Linked DNA regions of Drosophila melanogaster. The protein of the gene in region 1 binds, or shares a complex with, the protein of each later gene. Each region holds a gene or a part of one and is shown in the gene's direction. Other genes may lie near its edges.

What was found.
Region 2: Mettl3 (region 1) and vir share a complex: the UniProt entries of both Drosophila melanogaster proteins name them as parts of the WMM complex.

The regions. Positions count from the first base shown.
Region 1 is NT_033777.3:24,027,450-24,034,836, forward strand, and holds Mettl3 (methyltransferase like 3), read left to right. Parts: upstream 1-4,707; 5' UTR 4,708-4,747; coding exon 4,748-4,886; intron 4,887-4,948; coding exon 4,949-5,242; intron 5,243-5,310; coding exon 5,311-6,704; 3' UTR 6,705-6,808; downstream 6,809-7,387. Other genes in the region: KrT95D (krueppel target at 95D), read right to left, coding at 3,045-3,319. UniProt on the Drosophila melanogaster protein: Catalytic component of the WMM complex, a complex that mediates N6-methyladenosine (m6A) methylation of mRNAs, a modification that plays a role in the efficiency of mRNA splicing and is required for sex determination.
Region 2 is NT_033778.4:23,358,832-23,368,167, reverse strand, and holds vir (virilizer), read left to right. Parts: upstream 1-1,812; 5' UTR 1,813-1,913; coding exon 1,914-1,979; intron 1,980-2,044; coding exon 2,045-2,721; intron 2,722-2,780; coding exon 2,781-5,668; intron 5,669-5,721; coding exon 5,722-6,418; intron 6,419-6,474; coding exon 6,475-7,536; intron 7,537-7,600; coding exon 7,601-7,775; 3' UTR 7,776-7,945; downstream 7,946-9,336. Other genes in the region: Ice1 (uncharacterized protein), read right to left, coding at 1-1,064; Mthfs (methenyltetrahydrofolate synthetase), read right to left, coding at 7,946-8,178, 8,243-8,498, 8,572-8,688; CG34423 (uncharacterized protein), read right to left, coding at 9,068-9,136, 9,197-9,335. UniProt on the Drosophila melanogaster protein: Associated component of the WMM complex, a complex that mediates N6-methyladenosine (m6A) methylation of mRNAs, a modification that plays a role in the efficiency of mRNA splicing and is required for sex determination.

The DNA.
Region 1 (7,387 bases):
AAAATGTTTCCCAAAAAGTGTCCTGCTGATAAAGGCACTCCAAATAATGTGGTATGTTAATAAAGATAAAGATAGCGGATCCCTAATAAAATCTAGCCTTCATGGAGTTTCAATTACTTTCAGTAAATGTCAAATATTCTCAAGATCCTCAGATAAGAATTCGAGTCATATCTAAATTGTTCGTAGAAAATTGTATGGAAAAGTATTCCAATTACAAAAGTAAAAGAAAGAAGTTCCTCAAGAAGAACCAATCCAATTAATGCGGTGCAAAACCCTCTAGTTTTATGAGAATATTAAGTAAATTGCTGCGTATAACAGAAGATAAGGATATGGTGATTCACCTCCCCCTTCGACGCATTGTTAATCAGAATGGAAAAAGTTTCATTTACTCGTATCTTCCATGAAAGTGAATTAACAGTGCGGCAATTTCTGTATTTCAGCATTGGCACACAACTTTTCCGCAACCCTCAGACAAATCAGGCAAATTAAAACGAGATACACAGATACAAACTTTGCCAAGGATAATTTGCTACGCCTCGAACTTGAATGCATTTCACACCCTGACATTGCCACCAAGTAGATGTGTGTGTGTGTGTGTTTGCCCTCTTTATTCCGTTTTCTGATTTGATTTGAATTTGATTGCTCTGACGGGTCAAGCGGATCCGGATGAATCAGCCAGCCATCGGCCGGGTCGTCAGGCAAATGCGCCGGATCAGACGGGTCACGTACGTCTGGCGACCGCAAGGAAAACTTACGCTAATGCCGCGTGAGTCCTAATCAAAGTCTGGATATGCTCTACGTGCCGCATTCGGTCGTAGATAAAATCAACATAAAGATACAATTTGCGCAGTCGTAGGGAAACAGGGAAATAGGAAATGTGACGACACATGGTGCACTGACATAACTACAAATTACATTTACTTTCGGCTGCAATTAGGCAGAATGAGATTTTTAATTAGCCAACTGGAAAATATGCCATCTTTACTGGCTTTTTTGGGCTCTGGTGAAAGTTTCAACCCCATCTTCATTTTTCGGGCGAAAAGTTCAAAGTTGGTGACTGAAAAATTCCAAATTTGCTTGCTTAGCTTCAGTTTCTAATTATAAGCCAGCCAAGCGAGCGCATAATTATAAACAAACAAAGCAAAACAAAAACGGAAAACTCAAACCCAAACTCGAAAAGTGTATCCCAAAGATAAAACATAGGCGGCATCAGCGGTTTATGACCTTTCGAACAGACAAAAAAGAGCCACCAAATGGGGTGTGAGGTGCCAAAAGAAGGCGAGAGGAGCACATTTGGCCTTGGCCATCAAATATTTAGTAAATACTTTCCAAACCGCCTGATGGTCCTTCTACACAGTGAAAAATAATAGATAAATTGTAAAACACTTCAGTTTTTAATACACATACAAAACATTCGAATCATATTCATTTTGTTTCAGTTTAAAAGTTCATTTTACATGTATTTTGTAGATTGACAACTTAAAAAGATTTTTTTACTCTTTACTTGCTTAAACTTTCTTTGAAAATGGGCGTGTTCAAGGCCTTTGGCTGTTTTGATATTAATGCCCGTCTACTTGACCAGTTTATCGCCTTGAGAGCTCTTAAAATACACAAAAGCGATTAAACTCGGACAAAAAGTGCGCCTTGCCTTGGCTAATTTCTAATTTGTGCGACGCAGTGTGGTGTCCGCCCCAATTATAGATTAATCTTTGTCCAGAGTCAACATCTGAGCCAAATTGGACAAAGTCTGACTCATCCGCATGCAAATAGGCCGCTAATTCTTATCAGCCAGACCAGAAGAACCCCAAAGAGTAGCGGCCAGATGAGATGGGGCATTACTCATCTCGGGTTCGGGGTTACTGGGCCAAAGACATGGCACAAGACGTGTGGAATGAAAGAAGAAAACAAGCAAAACAATGCCACAAAACAAACGGGTTTATTTGCGGATCGCCATTCAAAGATAGAATCTTATCAACAGAGATTGCGAAATTATAAATTCTATAATTTATACACAATTGGTAGGTGTCATAAAACATATTTTAAATATTGTTTTGATTATACAGCGATTATTCAGCCTGACATTCATTATAAATATCCCCTTGATCTTAGGTTACAATATAAATAACATGTTACTTCCTTCATTATTTCATAATTCTTTATGTGCCTTACTTTAATTTCAAATCTTCCATCATATCTCTAACATTATGTTGGGTTAGGTTGGGATTTAATTGCGGTCAGATTTACTATCACGTCCAAAAATGTCGACATTGTTTTTTACTACATTTTTGGTTAGAGGGGTCAAGAACGTAAACCTTTTTTAATTTTTGTATTCCAGGAATTGTAGTTTAAAATTACCTCCTTAGAACAGCGTATTTGAAACTTTTATGGTTTTGGCTAACCATAAAATCGATTAATTCCTAAAAGTCAATCTCTTTCATAATGCACTTAAAAACTTTTTCGATTTCTTGTGCCGATGCGAATAAATAAAAATCAGCGCTGTCAGCGGCAACAACAATACCTTTTAAATAACAGTTAGCGCAGTTGCTGCTTTTGTTAACTAAAAATAGGAACAAAACAAAACCCAATCGAACGAAAACCGCGGCACGAAACCAAATTGGCAGAAAATCAACAATAAGCTGTAAACAAACTGACGTTGTGTATTATCTTTTTATCAGATGTATAACCTTTAAGTTCAGTACTTCGAGGGAATAGTAATGATAGGGTTTTGTTTTTGTTAAAGCTGATTTAAGCAAGGCAAAATTTATACTTTTTTAATTTATATGTATTCAATGCTAAGCTATACAAATAATCTTGATTAACTTTTGTGGCAATGTGATGGCTTCAACAACAAATTAGCTACATCGCCGACTAGTTAAGTAACATTTACCAATCTTGTTAACTCAGTTGGCATTTTTGTGTCTTGCTTTGACAAAGCAAAACAAAACTAACCAAAACAAAACAAAAATTGGCAAGAAACTATGCTTTTACTGTCCCTACGTCGCATTTTGTATGTATGTACATAAGTGAAATTTGTTTACACTCACCTTGGGATGCAATTGGGCGGCGTTCGGTCCACTTCCCAGGCGGCGAATAGCTTCATGGGCACCGGTTTCTGGCCAGTGGTCATTCCTGCTCCGGCGGACAAGCCAGCCGTTCCGGATATGCCACCAGATCCGGAGACTCCTCCTCCGCCGCCGGAACCGCCGCCTCCTCCGCCACTTTGCAGGTTGAGCGGACCGCCTCCAGGGCCGCTGCCGCCGGTGCCGCTGATTACGGCAAATTTATCCACCAACTTGGACGACTTATCGACCATCTTCATGTTGTTTCTTTGCTGGTTCCCGTCGAAAGGTATTTTTTGTGTTCTTAACTGTTGTTTATGTACTTGGGGTGCACATTATTTCGATGCAAACTGGGGAATATATGTCGTCGAGCAGGCACATAATTTTCAGATTTTCTGATAGTTTTCACAATTCAATATTTCGAAAGTTTTTTTTTGTCGATTTTCTGGTTAGCCCGCCAATACATACATATACACACGCACGAACGGACATACACGCACGTTGGGGAAGGGCGTGCCGCCGCCTTAAAAAAAGAAGCGAAGAGCTGTAGTATACACAGTGAAAAACGAGGGGTGGTTGGTGGGTGTGTGGGTTTCTTCTTTCGTTCTTTCTTTCTTTCTTGTTGTTGTGATGGGGCGCGCGCTGCAACTGCACTCGCACTGAATCAATATGTATGTACGCGCTGCGGAATCTGTTGCGGATTAGACAGCTCCTTCTCCTCGGCTGCTAGCGACTCGGAATCGGATTTGGATTCGGAACGGACTCGGAAGCTGCTGCTGCTTGTGCTGCAGCTTTGGATCGCGTCGAAAGTGCCGCGAACGAACCGTCATGCTCCAGAGTAAAAGTGCGAATGTCGCGTTATAAATCTGGCCCCAGTTCAGCTGCCTCACTCTCGCTCTCTCTTCTCTCTCTGTCACCCTCTCTGTATCACGACCCAACAATAACAATGTGTGCAAATGCTATGTGCACACACACACATAGACGAGATTTTCGCAAATCCCCACTTCTGTGTACGCGCGTGTGACTGTGTTTGAGTGCGCGCACTTAATGCTTTGCTCTCTCTTGCGCGCATAAACAAAAAAGAAAACGCCACGAATTTCGGGGAGCAGGCAAAAGGCGGCACTCGCTCTATTTCTCTTCAGCACTCGCGCGCGTTTTTATCGCGAGTCGATCACAGGTTAAACTGATTGGGTTATTATTTACGATTGGAGCGGTTTTCATCAAATATTTATGCGTTTCGGCACGTTTTATTTGGCAAAATGTTGCGGAGCAGCTATGTTGCAGCTTCCGCTTTTTGCGATGGGGAGCGGAGCAGTGTGGCCAGAGCGGATTCCTTGAAAATATCAACTGGGCGGTGCGGGTAAAATCGTATATACCAATCAATAAATAACTGTGTGTGGTCCAATAGATCATACAAATTAGAATAAGAAATATAATGGGGGCACAGCAATGTTAATACTTTCAACGTTTTTTAATTTTAATTTTGAATACCAGCCTACTTCCAACACTGGCCCTTTTAACGTTCTTGATGGTAATTTAAAATTTACTTGTGTAAAATGTATAAGTAGATTACCTTAGTTTAGTATTTTAATGTAACGTGTTTACCTGCAATGTGAACACGGTCACACTGCGAGCCTTTGTAAAAAAAATTTCATTGTTTACCAAAGGCCGGCAGCGTTTTATAAACAATGGCAGATGCGTGGGACATAAAATCACTCAAGACAAAGCGGAACACGCTCCGCGAGAAGCTGGAAAAGCGCAAGAAGGAGCGCATTGAGATTCTCTCGGACATTCAGGAGGATCTGACGAATCCCAAAAAGGAACTCGGTGAGCACCGGCAATGGCAACAAGTTGGAGCCACAAAAATGAATATATTTTTGCATTTCCAGTTGAGGCTGACTTGGAAGTACAGAAGGAGGTGCTGCAGGCCCTCAGTTCCTGCTCCCTGGCCCTGCCCATTGTCTCCACACAGGTGGTGGAAAAGATTGCCGGCAGCAGCCTGGAGATGGTGAACTTTATTCTAGGCAAACTGGCCAACCAGGGTGCAATTGTGATCCGGAACGTGACCATCGGCACCGAGGCCGGCTGCGAAATCATCTCTGTGCAGCCCAAGGAGCTGAAGGAGATCCTGGAAGACACCAACGATACGTGTCAGCAAAAGGAGGAGGAGGCCAAGAGAAAGTGTGGGTCTCACAGAAATTACTACTCTCATAAGTCTAATAATTATAATAATTTGCTGTTGATTTTACAGTGGAAGTCGACGATGTTGATCAGCCACAGGAGAAGACAATAAAACTGGAGTCCACTGTAGCGCGGAAAGAGTCCACAAGCCTGGATGCTCCGGACGATATTATGATGCTGCTATCCATGCCTTCCACCCGCGAAAAACAGAGTAAGCAGGTGGGCGAGGAGATTCTTGAGCTGCTTACTAAGCCTACGGCCAAAGAGCGATCCGTGGCTGAGAAGTTTAAGTCCCACGGCGGAGCGCAGGTCATGGAGTTTTGCTCCCACGGCACAAAAGTCGAGTGCCTGAAGGCTCAACAAGCCACCGCCGAGATGGCGGCCAAAAAGAAACAAGAAAGAAGAGACGAAAAGGAGCTTCGCCCGGATGTTGATGCGGGCGAAAACGTCACCGGTAAGGTACCCAAGACAGAATCGGCAGCCGAGGATGGAGAAATCATTGCGGAGGTTATAAACAATTGCGAAGCCGAGTCGCAGGAATCCACCGATGGCAGCGATACCTGCAGCAGTGAGACAACAGACAAGTGCACCAAACTGCATTTCAAAAAGATCATCCAGGCTCACACGGACGAATCTCTGGGGGACTGCAGTTTCCTAAACACCTGCTTCCACATGGCCACCTGCAAGTACGTGCACTATGAGGTGGACACCCTGCCGCATATAAACACAAACAAGCCCACGGATGTGAAAACCAAATTGAGCCTCAAGCGCAGCGTAGACTCCAGTTGCACGCTCTATCCGCCGCAATGGATTCAATGCGACCTACGCTTCTTGGACATGACGGTCCTGGGAAAGTTCGCTGTGGTGATGGCCGATCCTCCCTGGGATATCCACATGGAATTGCCCTACGGCACAATGTCGGACGATGAAATGAGAGCACTGGGCGTGCCGGCACTTCAGGATGACGGCTTGATCTTTCTGTGGGTCACTGGACGAGCCATGGAACTTGGCCGCGACTGCCTCAAGTTGTGGGGCTATGAGCGCGTGGACGAACTCATCTGGGTAAAGACCAACCAACTGCAGCGAATTATTCGCACTGGGCGCACTGGTCATTGGCTAAACCACGGCAAGGAGCACTGTTTGGTGGGCATGAAAGGCAATCCCACAAACCTGAACCGCGGACTCGATTGCGATGTGATCGTTGCGGAGGTGCGGGCCACCTCTCACAAGCCGGATGAGATTTATGGTATTATCGAGCGTCTAAGCCCGGGTACTCGCAAGATCGAGCTCTTTGGGCGTCCGCACAACATCCAACCGAACTGGATAACCCTGGGAAACCAACTGGATGGCATTCGACTGGTGGATCCGGAGCTAATTACGCAGTTCCAGAAGCGTTATCCAGATGGTAACTGCATGTCGCCAGCTTCTGCCAATGCGGCGTCGATCAATGGAATACAAAAGTAGGATTAAAATAGTATTTGCTGTATGAATTGAGACCTCGACAAGCCAGAGCTGTGTACAGACTCAATTATAGTAAGATAAATTATTATTAAAGCTTTTACAAACCGAAATGGCTTATGTGGAACATTTAATAATGAATGAAGGCAAGTCCATCATGCAGACTAAAGTTAAATTTGCCCTTTTGGGAATTGAAATGACTTAAACATCAAATGCCATTAAATATCACTATATGTTAATCCACACATATAGATAGGTTTATTGCTCATACTAGGGGATTTGCGCGTATTTACAAAAGTGCGATATCACCGAACCCGGTGATTCTCTAGATGTCGTATATATTGGTTTATATAGAACGCAGTACGTGTACATATCACTATCAGCTATGCACGATATTGGTTGTTTCGTTACTCGAATATGCTGGTAACAATAGCTTATTTGACTTATCAGAGAGAACATGGTTTATGTAAGTTAATATACGATTAGAAATGCAGCGTACACAATGTGCTCGACTGGCCACTGCTCCAGCCCAATTCCTGCTAGTGTACTTGATGAGTGTATTTACAAGTCAGGAATGAGAGCATCGGCATGTGTCCGTTCATAGTTTGCTTTAGTTTTCGTAACAATAAATTTGGATTTACAGTACCAAGCAATTAAATAATTAATAAGATACATGAATTTGTCAAACT
Region 2 (9,336 bases), on another chromosome or scaffold:
CTGGAGGATCTGGCCTCCTCCTTTACACTATCCAGCATTGTTCGTGAGGGCGGCCTCGAGGCGGACACCTTTATTTGTGTCGGCAGGTCGGTAACGAAATCAATCTCGCGGTGTATATCACACAAAGTGGTACAGGTGGCCACACTCGCATTGGTCGGTACGTCCTCGAGCTGCAACTCCTGCTGCAGATCGCTCAGCGGACTCATGGGCTCAATTACGACATCATCTCGCCACGATAGCATTTCATCAAGTATCTGCCGAATATTTGGCAGGGGCTTTGGTTCGGGAAAGCATGTGCCCACATCGTGGTGCTTGATGAAGGAGGCTGTAGTGGTTCCCCGGGTGGTGGTGGTGTTCTTGTGTTGCGTGGCCTGGTTGCGCGTCTCTATCAGACCTTCCACTTGCACAGCAACAGAGCAAAGCGCGGGCTTGGGATCAGCGGGTTCCTCGTCGGTTTGCGTAGATTGGTTGACTCCGGGCTGATGGGCTTTCCGTTTGCTACGTGAATTCGGGCTCTTTGGCGTGGGCACGCTTACGTCTATAGTCTTGCAGTGCTCCCTTAGCTTCTTCATGATGTTCTGATCCCGCCGCAAAAGTCCACAATCGTCGCCCAGCCGCTGGGAGAACTGCATGAGTATGGACAGCACATCCTTGGCTTCCACGGGTAGTCCCCGCACTTGCAGCTGCTCCTGCAGATTCTCGCAGTTCCCAACCTGTACGTCCAGCTCCTTTTCCAGCTGTCCGCATCGCTCGCCGATCTGCTTGGTGCGCTTCTCCAGCTCGATCCTCTGTTGCTTCTCCTTCTGGTACAGATCCGTCACCTCTTGGGCGGTGCGCTGCAGGTCGGCCAGCTGTTTGTTTTGAGCCTGCAGCTGTTTCACCTGGCGGATCAGCTCGTCGTTCTGGGCTATTCGCTCGGCCAGCCGGCTTCGCTTGGCGTACACATCTTGGTTGCTCCTGGGCAGCGACACCTGCTTATACGGCGCCACCAGAGCATCTTGCAGCGGTGCGCTTGGGCCCAGAAGCTGATCTATATTGAAGTCGGAGAACTCGTCCAAATTCATGTTGCGCAGACTTGTTGTTGCTGGATTTCACGTGGTTGCGTGTTCAAGCGCCACTGCGGTTCTAGAACTTGCAGAAAACAAGGAGAATCCTCATTTTCCACACAATTCGCTAGTCGGTCACGAGTTGGACAATATTAAGCTGCGCATCTGGCGATTTAATACACAAAACAGAGAAATAAAACAAAATCCGCGTTTTTCTCTGCAGCCGGTCTCCAAAACATTTCCCTTATCGACAACCCAGCACGAGCCTATCGATATATATGGTATGGGACTATTTTATGGAACTCTTATAGGTCGTTCTCACTACTTCGTTTTTGATAGTTCACACTTTATTTATAATAAGAGGTTCGAATTATAGTTTGATAATATTGTAGAGGAAGTAAATTTTGAATTACTGATAATAACTAAATTTACATGATTTGCGTGCGTCCATTGAAGGGAAACAAATGTACTCTGAATCAGTGCGATTCCCTGCGTTAGGTTTAAGCCTATGGTTTTTAGGGCTATTTTACAATCTTTTAGAAAACATTGAGAGCATCATTACCAAAAATGGGGAATATTGAGAAAAAATCCAATTCATTTCTAGACATGAGCCAATTGTGACGTTAAAATTTGATGCATTGTTTTGCGCAAGCTACTAGACTGAGACAATTTTTGTTTAGTTTTTAAAGATGTATTCAACATATTCTAAAGCATACCCTCTTGAATACCCCTACCAATTGTAGTAGAGCAATTGATGATATCGATCACTTATCGTCTTAAGTTCCATCCCTAGCAGTTGCGGAAAATAAATAAAACTTCCGGACTGTAGAAGATTTTACTGAAAAAGACTCGATTTAAGCACACAACATGGCCGACGTAGACGACGGGTCCGAGCTGCTGTTCTTCGACACTTTCTCGCATGAGGAAGTGACGGTAAGTGCCTCCAGAAGCCCCCACTCGGTGCATTCGCTGAACCCCACTTCCTCCTCTCCTCATAGGACATCAATTTGGATTTGGTGCAGTTTCCCAAGCCGGTCTTCATCACACAGGTGCGGATCATTCCTCTCGGCGCCCGAGTCCAGGCAGACTTTCCCGGCGGCGTTCGCCTGGGCGCCACCAACCCCTCCAAGTTCGACCTGGAGTTCTTCGTCAATGACCTGGGAATGCCGGCTGCGTCGGCATTCGAGAACCTCGGCCTGCTGCGTTACAACCAGAACGACTGCATTCACTTGGATTGCTCGCAGGAGAAGATCGTCACCGACGGTCTGGTGCTGCGCGGCTGGTACAGCACCATCACACTGGCCATCTACGGCATTTTCACCAACTCGGTGACCGAGCCAATCGCCAGTCCAACGCTGCCCTGCGAGCCCGTGGGCCCGGAGATAGCCAACCTGAGTGGCGAGGTGCTCCTCCAGGAGGATGTGCTGAAAGACGAGTGGCAGGAGCCGATGCAGGCCGAACTGCTGACCGCTCACAAAGGAAATGTCAGCGATTACGATCCGGAGGACATGGAGTATGGAATGTCGCGGGATCATTACCACCAGCATGCCGAGGAGCAGGAGCAGCGAGAGATGCGACGACTGCGTCGGTCCACGCATTCCACGGATCACTCACCGCCACCGCCCAGAAGATCGCACACGCATTCGGAGAGCAACGACAGGGAGTACATCAGGTGGTAAGTGGTTATCTGTTTTATTTATTATATTCAGACTTATCACAGACCTTTCATTGCAGTTCCCGCGACAAGGGCTCCAGGGATTGGTCGCGTTCACCGGAGTATTCCAGCCATCGGTCACGTCGCAAGCGCTCCGAGAGATCTCGCTCCGTTGTGGACGAGCACAAGTGGCCCAGAACCCCGCCCGCGTCGATAGACTCACCGACACGTCCGCGTTCGCCAGACACGATGGACTACGAGGACGAGGACTCGCGCTCCCACTACAAGATGCAGTCATCTCACTACCGGCACTCCTCCGAGTCGCTGCACCGTGGTGAACGGGATCGGGACGATGAGGACCGATCGTGCACGCCGCAAGAGCAGTTTGAGCCCATTCTCAGTGACGACGAGATCATCGGCGACGACGAGGAGGACGACGCAGTGGATGCGGCTGCCATTGCGGAGTACGAGCGGGAGTTGGAGGCTGCTGCTGCCGCTGCTCCTCCGGCCATCGATGCTTTCGAGCCGTGGCAGAAGCCACTGTTGGTCTTTGAAGGGGACATGGCAGCCCACTTCTGCAAGGAGCTGGAAACTCTGAAGCTGCTCTTTAAGAAGCTGGTCCTGCAAACCCGCTGTGAGAATGTTAATGCCTTCAGCGAGGAACATGGCGCTAGTGTGGACGAAAGGGAGCAATTTGTGTACTTGGGTGAACAACTGAACAACCAATTGGGTTACCTAGCCCAGCACTACAAGCGGAGGAACTTTGTCCTGCAGCAGTTCTTCGGAAACGATGAGCTACATCTGCGACAGGCGGCTAACGTGCTGCAGATTGCCCTGAGTTTCCAGGCGGCATGCATGCAACCACAGCCAGCTTTTAAGATCCGCCACATCAAGCTGGGTGCGCGAATGGCTGAACTTCTGGGCAGTAGCGAAGAGCTCTTCCAGCACTTGTTGAAAGAGCACAAATTCGATATCTTTGAGGCGGTGTTCCGGCTGTACCACGAACCGTACATGGCTCTGTCCATCAAGCTTCAGCTCCTCAAGGCCGTCTACGCCCTGCTGGACACCAGGATGGGTATCGAACACTTTATGGGAGCGAAGAACAACGGCTATCAGATGATTGTTGAAGCCATCAAGACAGCCAAGCTGACCAGGACGAAGTACGCACTGCAGGCGATTATAAAGAAGCTGCATTTGTGGGAAGGCCTGGAGAGTGTACAGATCTGGTGCCGTCGTCTCTTCGTGGACCGAATAATCATACCTGGTAATCGCGATCAAATGGAGGACACAGTGATAACTTGCCAGCAGATAGAGTTTGCCTTCGAGATGCTGATGGATGCACTGTTCTCCAGCCAGTTGAGCTACTTGCAGCCGCGTCGCTTTCTGCCCGTGTCCAAGAAATTCGAGGTGGTGACCGATCCCACGGCGCAGCGCAGTTTCGGAAATGCCCTGCAGTCCTACTTGGGACAGAACTCACTGGCGGAATCCCTGCTGGTCATGTTGGCAAACTGCAAGGAGTTGCCGGCCACGACGTATCTAAGCATGCTAGACTTGATGCACACCCTTTTGCGCTCGCATGTCGGCATTGATTACTTCGTGGATGATGCTTTTCCTGTAACGCAGACGATTGTGGCCATACTGCTGGGCCTGGACGAGGTTCCTCGAAACCCGGAGGAAAAAGAGGAGAAGGCAGAGAAGTCGGATGCAGAGGACAAGGCAATGGAGGTCGAAAATGAAGCTGTGGAAGCTGGAGGCGAGAAGCCAACTCCACCGACGGCCGACGAGGAGGGGAAGCCAGTTGCGGCCCCGATTTCCGTTCCAGCTCCAGCTGCTGCTCCTCAAGTGCGACCCAGGCCGATCCTGCGCCCAGTACTGCCACGCCTGGCCAGGTTGGGCATCGAAATGTCGTACAAGGTGCAGACGCGTTACCACCTGGACGCCATTGCTTACGCTGCCGCGGCTCCCGAATACGATGCCGTCAAGTTGGCCACGCATATGCATGCCATTTACTCGCAAACCTGCGATCCGGCTGGGCGGCAGCACACCGTGGAGGTGCTGGGCTTGAATAACAATCTTAAGATCTTCATGGATCTGATCAAGAAGGAGCAGCGTCTGCAGACGCAACGCCAGCTGAGTTCGCCGGGCACGAAGTACAAGAGTCCGGTATTGAGCTATGCCGTGGACATGGTGGACGCCTGCGTCCGCTACTGCGAGCAGTTGGACTACCTTATCGAGCACGGAGGTGTGATCCTGGAGCTGGCCAAGAACCACGAGACCTTCGAGCCCTCGGTGTCGGCCGTCCTGCAGGAGATGTACGTGTACATGAAACCCTTAGAGGCCATCAATGTGTTCGTATACGATGACATTATGCCGCTGGTGGAGGTGATAGGACGCTCCCTGGATTACCTAACCACTTTTCCCGGAGATCTGATAATGGCCATGCGGATTTTGCGCTATCTCTCCATAAGCAAGCCGCTGGCAGGTCAGAAAGCTCCTCCAGTGACCGAGGAGCTCAAACATAGGTTCGTGGCCCTGCAGCTGTACGCGGCGGATGGTGTCCAACTTTGCATCCAGATCATGGAGCGACTATGCGCCTACTTCGAGCAGCCGGGTGCGCACGCTCCCGCCCTGATGACCATCCAGGGAGTGCATTGCTGCCAGATCATGCTGCCAACGCTACAGATCCTCCGCGAGCTGCTCTCCTACGCGATTCTGTGCAGAGACGGCACCTACAAGGACCTCACAGCCATCGATCACCTGGTGAAAGTGTACTACCTGCTCTACTACTTCCCCACGCGCTGCCAGGCGGGACCCGAGGTGGAGCAGTGCAAGATGGAGGTGGTCCAGACCCTGCTCGCCTACACCCAGCCGAACGAACAAGACGAGGAGTCGCTGCACAAGTCCCTTTGGACCCTGATGATCAGAGAGGTGCTTAAGAATGTCGATGGTCCCGCGCACTTCATTCCTGGTAAGCTAGACTTTGCAAGAGATCTGATCCATCTAATGATTCCTTCCGTACAGGACTGAAACTTTTGGCGGAGCTGCTTCCACTGCCGCTGCCTATGCCCCAGCCGCTATGCGACCAGTTGCAGCAGCAGCACAAGCAGCGTCTGATTACCGAGCGGAAACTGTGGTCCGCCCACTTGCATCCCCAGAGCGGTCAGATCGCCAAGCTGGTGGAGGCACTGGCTCCGTCCAGTTTTCCGCAGCTGTCCGAACTACTGCAGCGAGTGTGCATGCAACTGTCCGACCTGGCGCCCAACATGACGCTGCTGATCGCCAAGACGATCACGGAACTGCTGTGCAATGAGTACCAGACATCCAACTGTATTCCGACCACCAACCTGGAACGGCTGCTTCGTTTCTCCACTCGCTTGTGCGCTTTTGCCCCTTTGAAGAGCTCCATGCTGTCCATACTCTCCGGAAAGTTCTGGGAACTCTTCCAGTCGCTGCTGGCACTGAACGAGTTTAACGACGTGGTTTCCAACTGCCAGGAGGCCGTTCACCGCATTCTGGACAGTTTCCTAGACTCGGGCATTTCGCTGATTTCGCACAAGAGCACGGCTTCGCCCGCTTTGAATCTGGCTGCCGCACTGCCACCCAAGGAGCTCATTCCGCGAATCATCGATGCGGTCTTCAGTAACCTGACAAGCGTGGAGGTCACGCATGGCATATCGATTCTAGCGGTGCGCAATCTGGTCATCCTCACGGAGCACGAGTAAGTTCTGAATATCACTCGCACGCTTTTAATATTAATATTATCTATACCGCCAGCTTCACTTTCTACCATCTGGCGCAGTTGTTGAAGCAAAAGATCACCGAGTTCCAGGCGTGGATGGAGCGCGTGATCCTTCACAACGAAACGGTGGAGTACAATGCCAACATCGAATCTCTGATCCTGCTGCTGCGCTCTCTGACCCAAATAGAACCGCCGCCCGCCATGTCGGCCATGCCACACCGCACTCTGAAACTGGGCGCCACAGAGTTGGCTCAGCTGGTTGAGTTCCAGGACATTGAGCTGGCCAAGCCACCGGTGCTGAGCCGCATTCTCACCGTCATGGAGAAGCATAAGGCAGTGGCCAATGAGGCGGCGCTGAGCGACCTCAAGCAGCTGATCCTGCTGCAGGCCTCTAAGCAGGAGATTCTCGCCGGAACCAGTACGGAGACGCCACCAGAGGCGGAGGGCGAAGCCAATCCATCTGCCAGCAGCTGCAGTGCATCTCTGACCGTGGAGCCCTATCTGCCACAGGCCGAGGGCATTGTCACACAGTACGAGGCGCGTCCGATCTTCACGCGATTCTGCGCCACCGCCGAGAATGCCCAACTAACGGCGCGCTACTGGCTGGACCCGCTGCCCATCGAACTGATCGAGGACATGAACGAGCCGATCTACGAGCGCATTGCCTGCGATCTCACGGATTTGGCCAACGTGTGCCTCAATCCGGACTTGAATGTGGCTGGCGATAGCAAGCGGGTCATGAACTTATCCGGCTCGCCCCAATCCAATCGGGAGATGACGCCCACGGCGCCTTGTTTCCGCACGCGCCGTGTGGAAGTTGAGCCCGCGACTGGTCGACCCGAAAAGAAGATGTTTGTGTCGTCGGTAAGGGGTCGTGGTTTTGCTCGGCCACCACCTTCCAGGGGCGATTTGTTCCGCTCCCGGCCGCCCAACACCTCGCGACCGCCATCGCTGCACGTGGACGACTTCCTGGCCTTGGAAACTTGTGGCGCCCAGCCCACAGGACCCACCGGCTACAACAAGATACCCTCAATGCTGAGAGGCTCCCGGGTGGGTCGCAACCGAGGATCTCGAATCTCGGCAGCAGCTGCCTTTAGGTAAAGTGTCACGATTACCACTTAGCAGGATAACGCTAATGGGCTCTTTTTACTCTTTTAACAGGCAAAAGAAGATGATGCGCATTGGTTCGCCCTCCAGCTGGGCAGAGTCCCCCGGATCGTATCGGTCTGCCTCGGACTCCCACTTCAGTAGCAGCGACTCGCACTATTCGTCGCCCCACTACAGTGGACGGCCGCGTGGACGAGGCCTGCGTTCCAGGCCATCCTACCTGAGATAGGAGGACATTGCAGCCCAACCCGCTTCTCACTGACACTTCCCGTAAACTCGGCAAACGAACCAGAACTAGATCCTAAGATGCCCGCTGGGCAGCTGAATTCCAATACTTAATAGTGTGTGTTGCTTTCGTATTAGTTCGCTTTACTTCCCACTTTGTATGTAAGCCAAAAGTTAGTTTTCCGTAATTACACTGTGCAAACGGACGTCGTGCGACTCCATGGGCAACTCCTCGTTGCTGACTATCTGCTCGTTGAGCGACAGTGCCATCAGCGAGATCTTCTTGTGCGGATACTTCTCCGCGTGCTGCTTGAGGAACTTGTCGTAGTAGCCCATGCCATGGCCCATCCGAGCTCCGCAGCGGGTGAAGGCCACACCGGGCACAATGAAGAGATCGATGCCGTGCCCTGTGGTGATCGAGTGTGTGTGTGTGGGTTTAGAAGGAGCTCTGATGTATGCCTAGCCACTCACCGTTGGTCATGGCATCCTCGCGTGCCTCCTTGAAGTCCGGCTGCTTTATGTTCCACTTGGTCAGAGGCAGGCTCTCGTACTCCTCCATGCCGCGCAGCCGCACCATCTTCATCCTGCTGCCCTCGTAGGTGGGCACAAAGACCATCTTCTCCAGGCGGAACATCTCCGACAGCAGCGCCGTGGTGTCCAGCTCCGAGGCTGTGCTCAGGTAAATGCTCACCCGCTGCGCCTGCCGGAAGATCTCGCTTTGCAGCACCTGTGCGATCGAGCCGATTAGGGGGATTGGGAATTAACTTGATAACCTTGGGGCCCAGCCAAACCAATGTTACCTTAGCCGTGACGGCCTGCGACTGCCGGGCGATGGCCTCCGCGTCGATGCCCTTCAGTGCATCCTTCATGCGCTTTCGCAGCGCCACCTTCAGGGTGTTCTGGATCGTGGCCGCCATTCCTGCCGCTGGATCATCTACTGCACACTCGAGCGAACCGGTGCGAACTGTTTCCATCTGCCTGCGCGGTCCATGCGTCTTTAGGTCGCCACTCCGCCGCCCGTTATCAGCTGCGCTTACACTGACGCTTATCTGTCGGCTGTTCCGCTTTGCAGCGCTGTTCGTAAACAAATGGAAGTGGAGCGGTCTGGGGAAAGTTTAGGCTTGCAGTTTGGGTGAGCCGCGGGGCGATCAGCTGATCAGGGATGGGAGTTATCCAATACACAACCAGTTGTAAATTAAACAAAATATATTTGGAGTACCATTCCCATTAAATACAATTCAGACAATCCAGCCTAACCATAGTTAAGCTAGTGGAGTTCAAAGCTCCTGGTTGGGCTCACTTCTTGGGAGCCTCTGGTGCCTTAGGCTCCGTCTTGGTCTTCAGGTTCTTCAGTTGCTCCTTTTGCTGCAGGGAAACATGGAATCTTTACCTCGTGTACAGTCTGGTGTAGTAGAAAGAGCTCACCTGCTTGTAGAAGAACTCCTCCTCGCGAGCAGCCTCCATTTTGCCAAATGAACCGCCCGCCTCCCGGATGGATCCGCCGCCGCCGCCGCCGTTGCCGGCTCCACTGCCCAGTTCTCCGATCTGCGACATCTTCAAGTGCC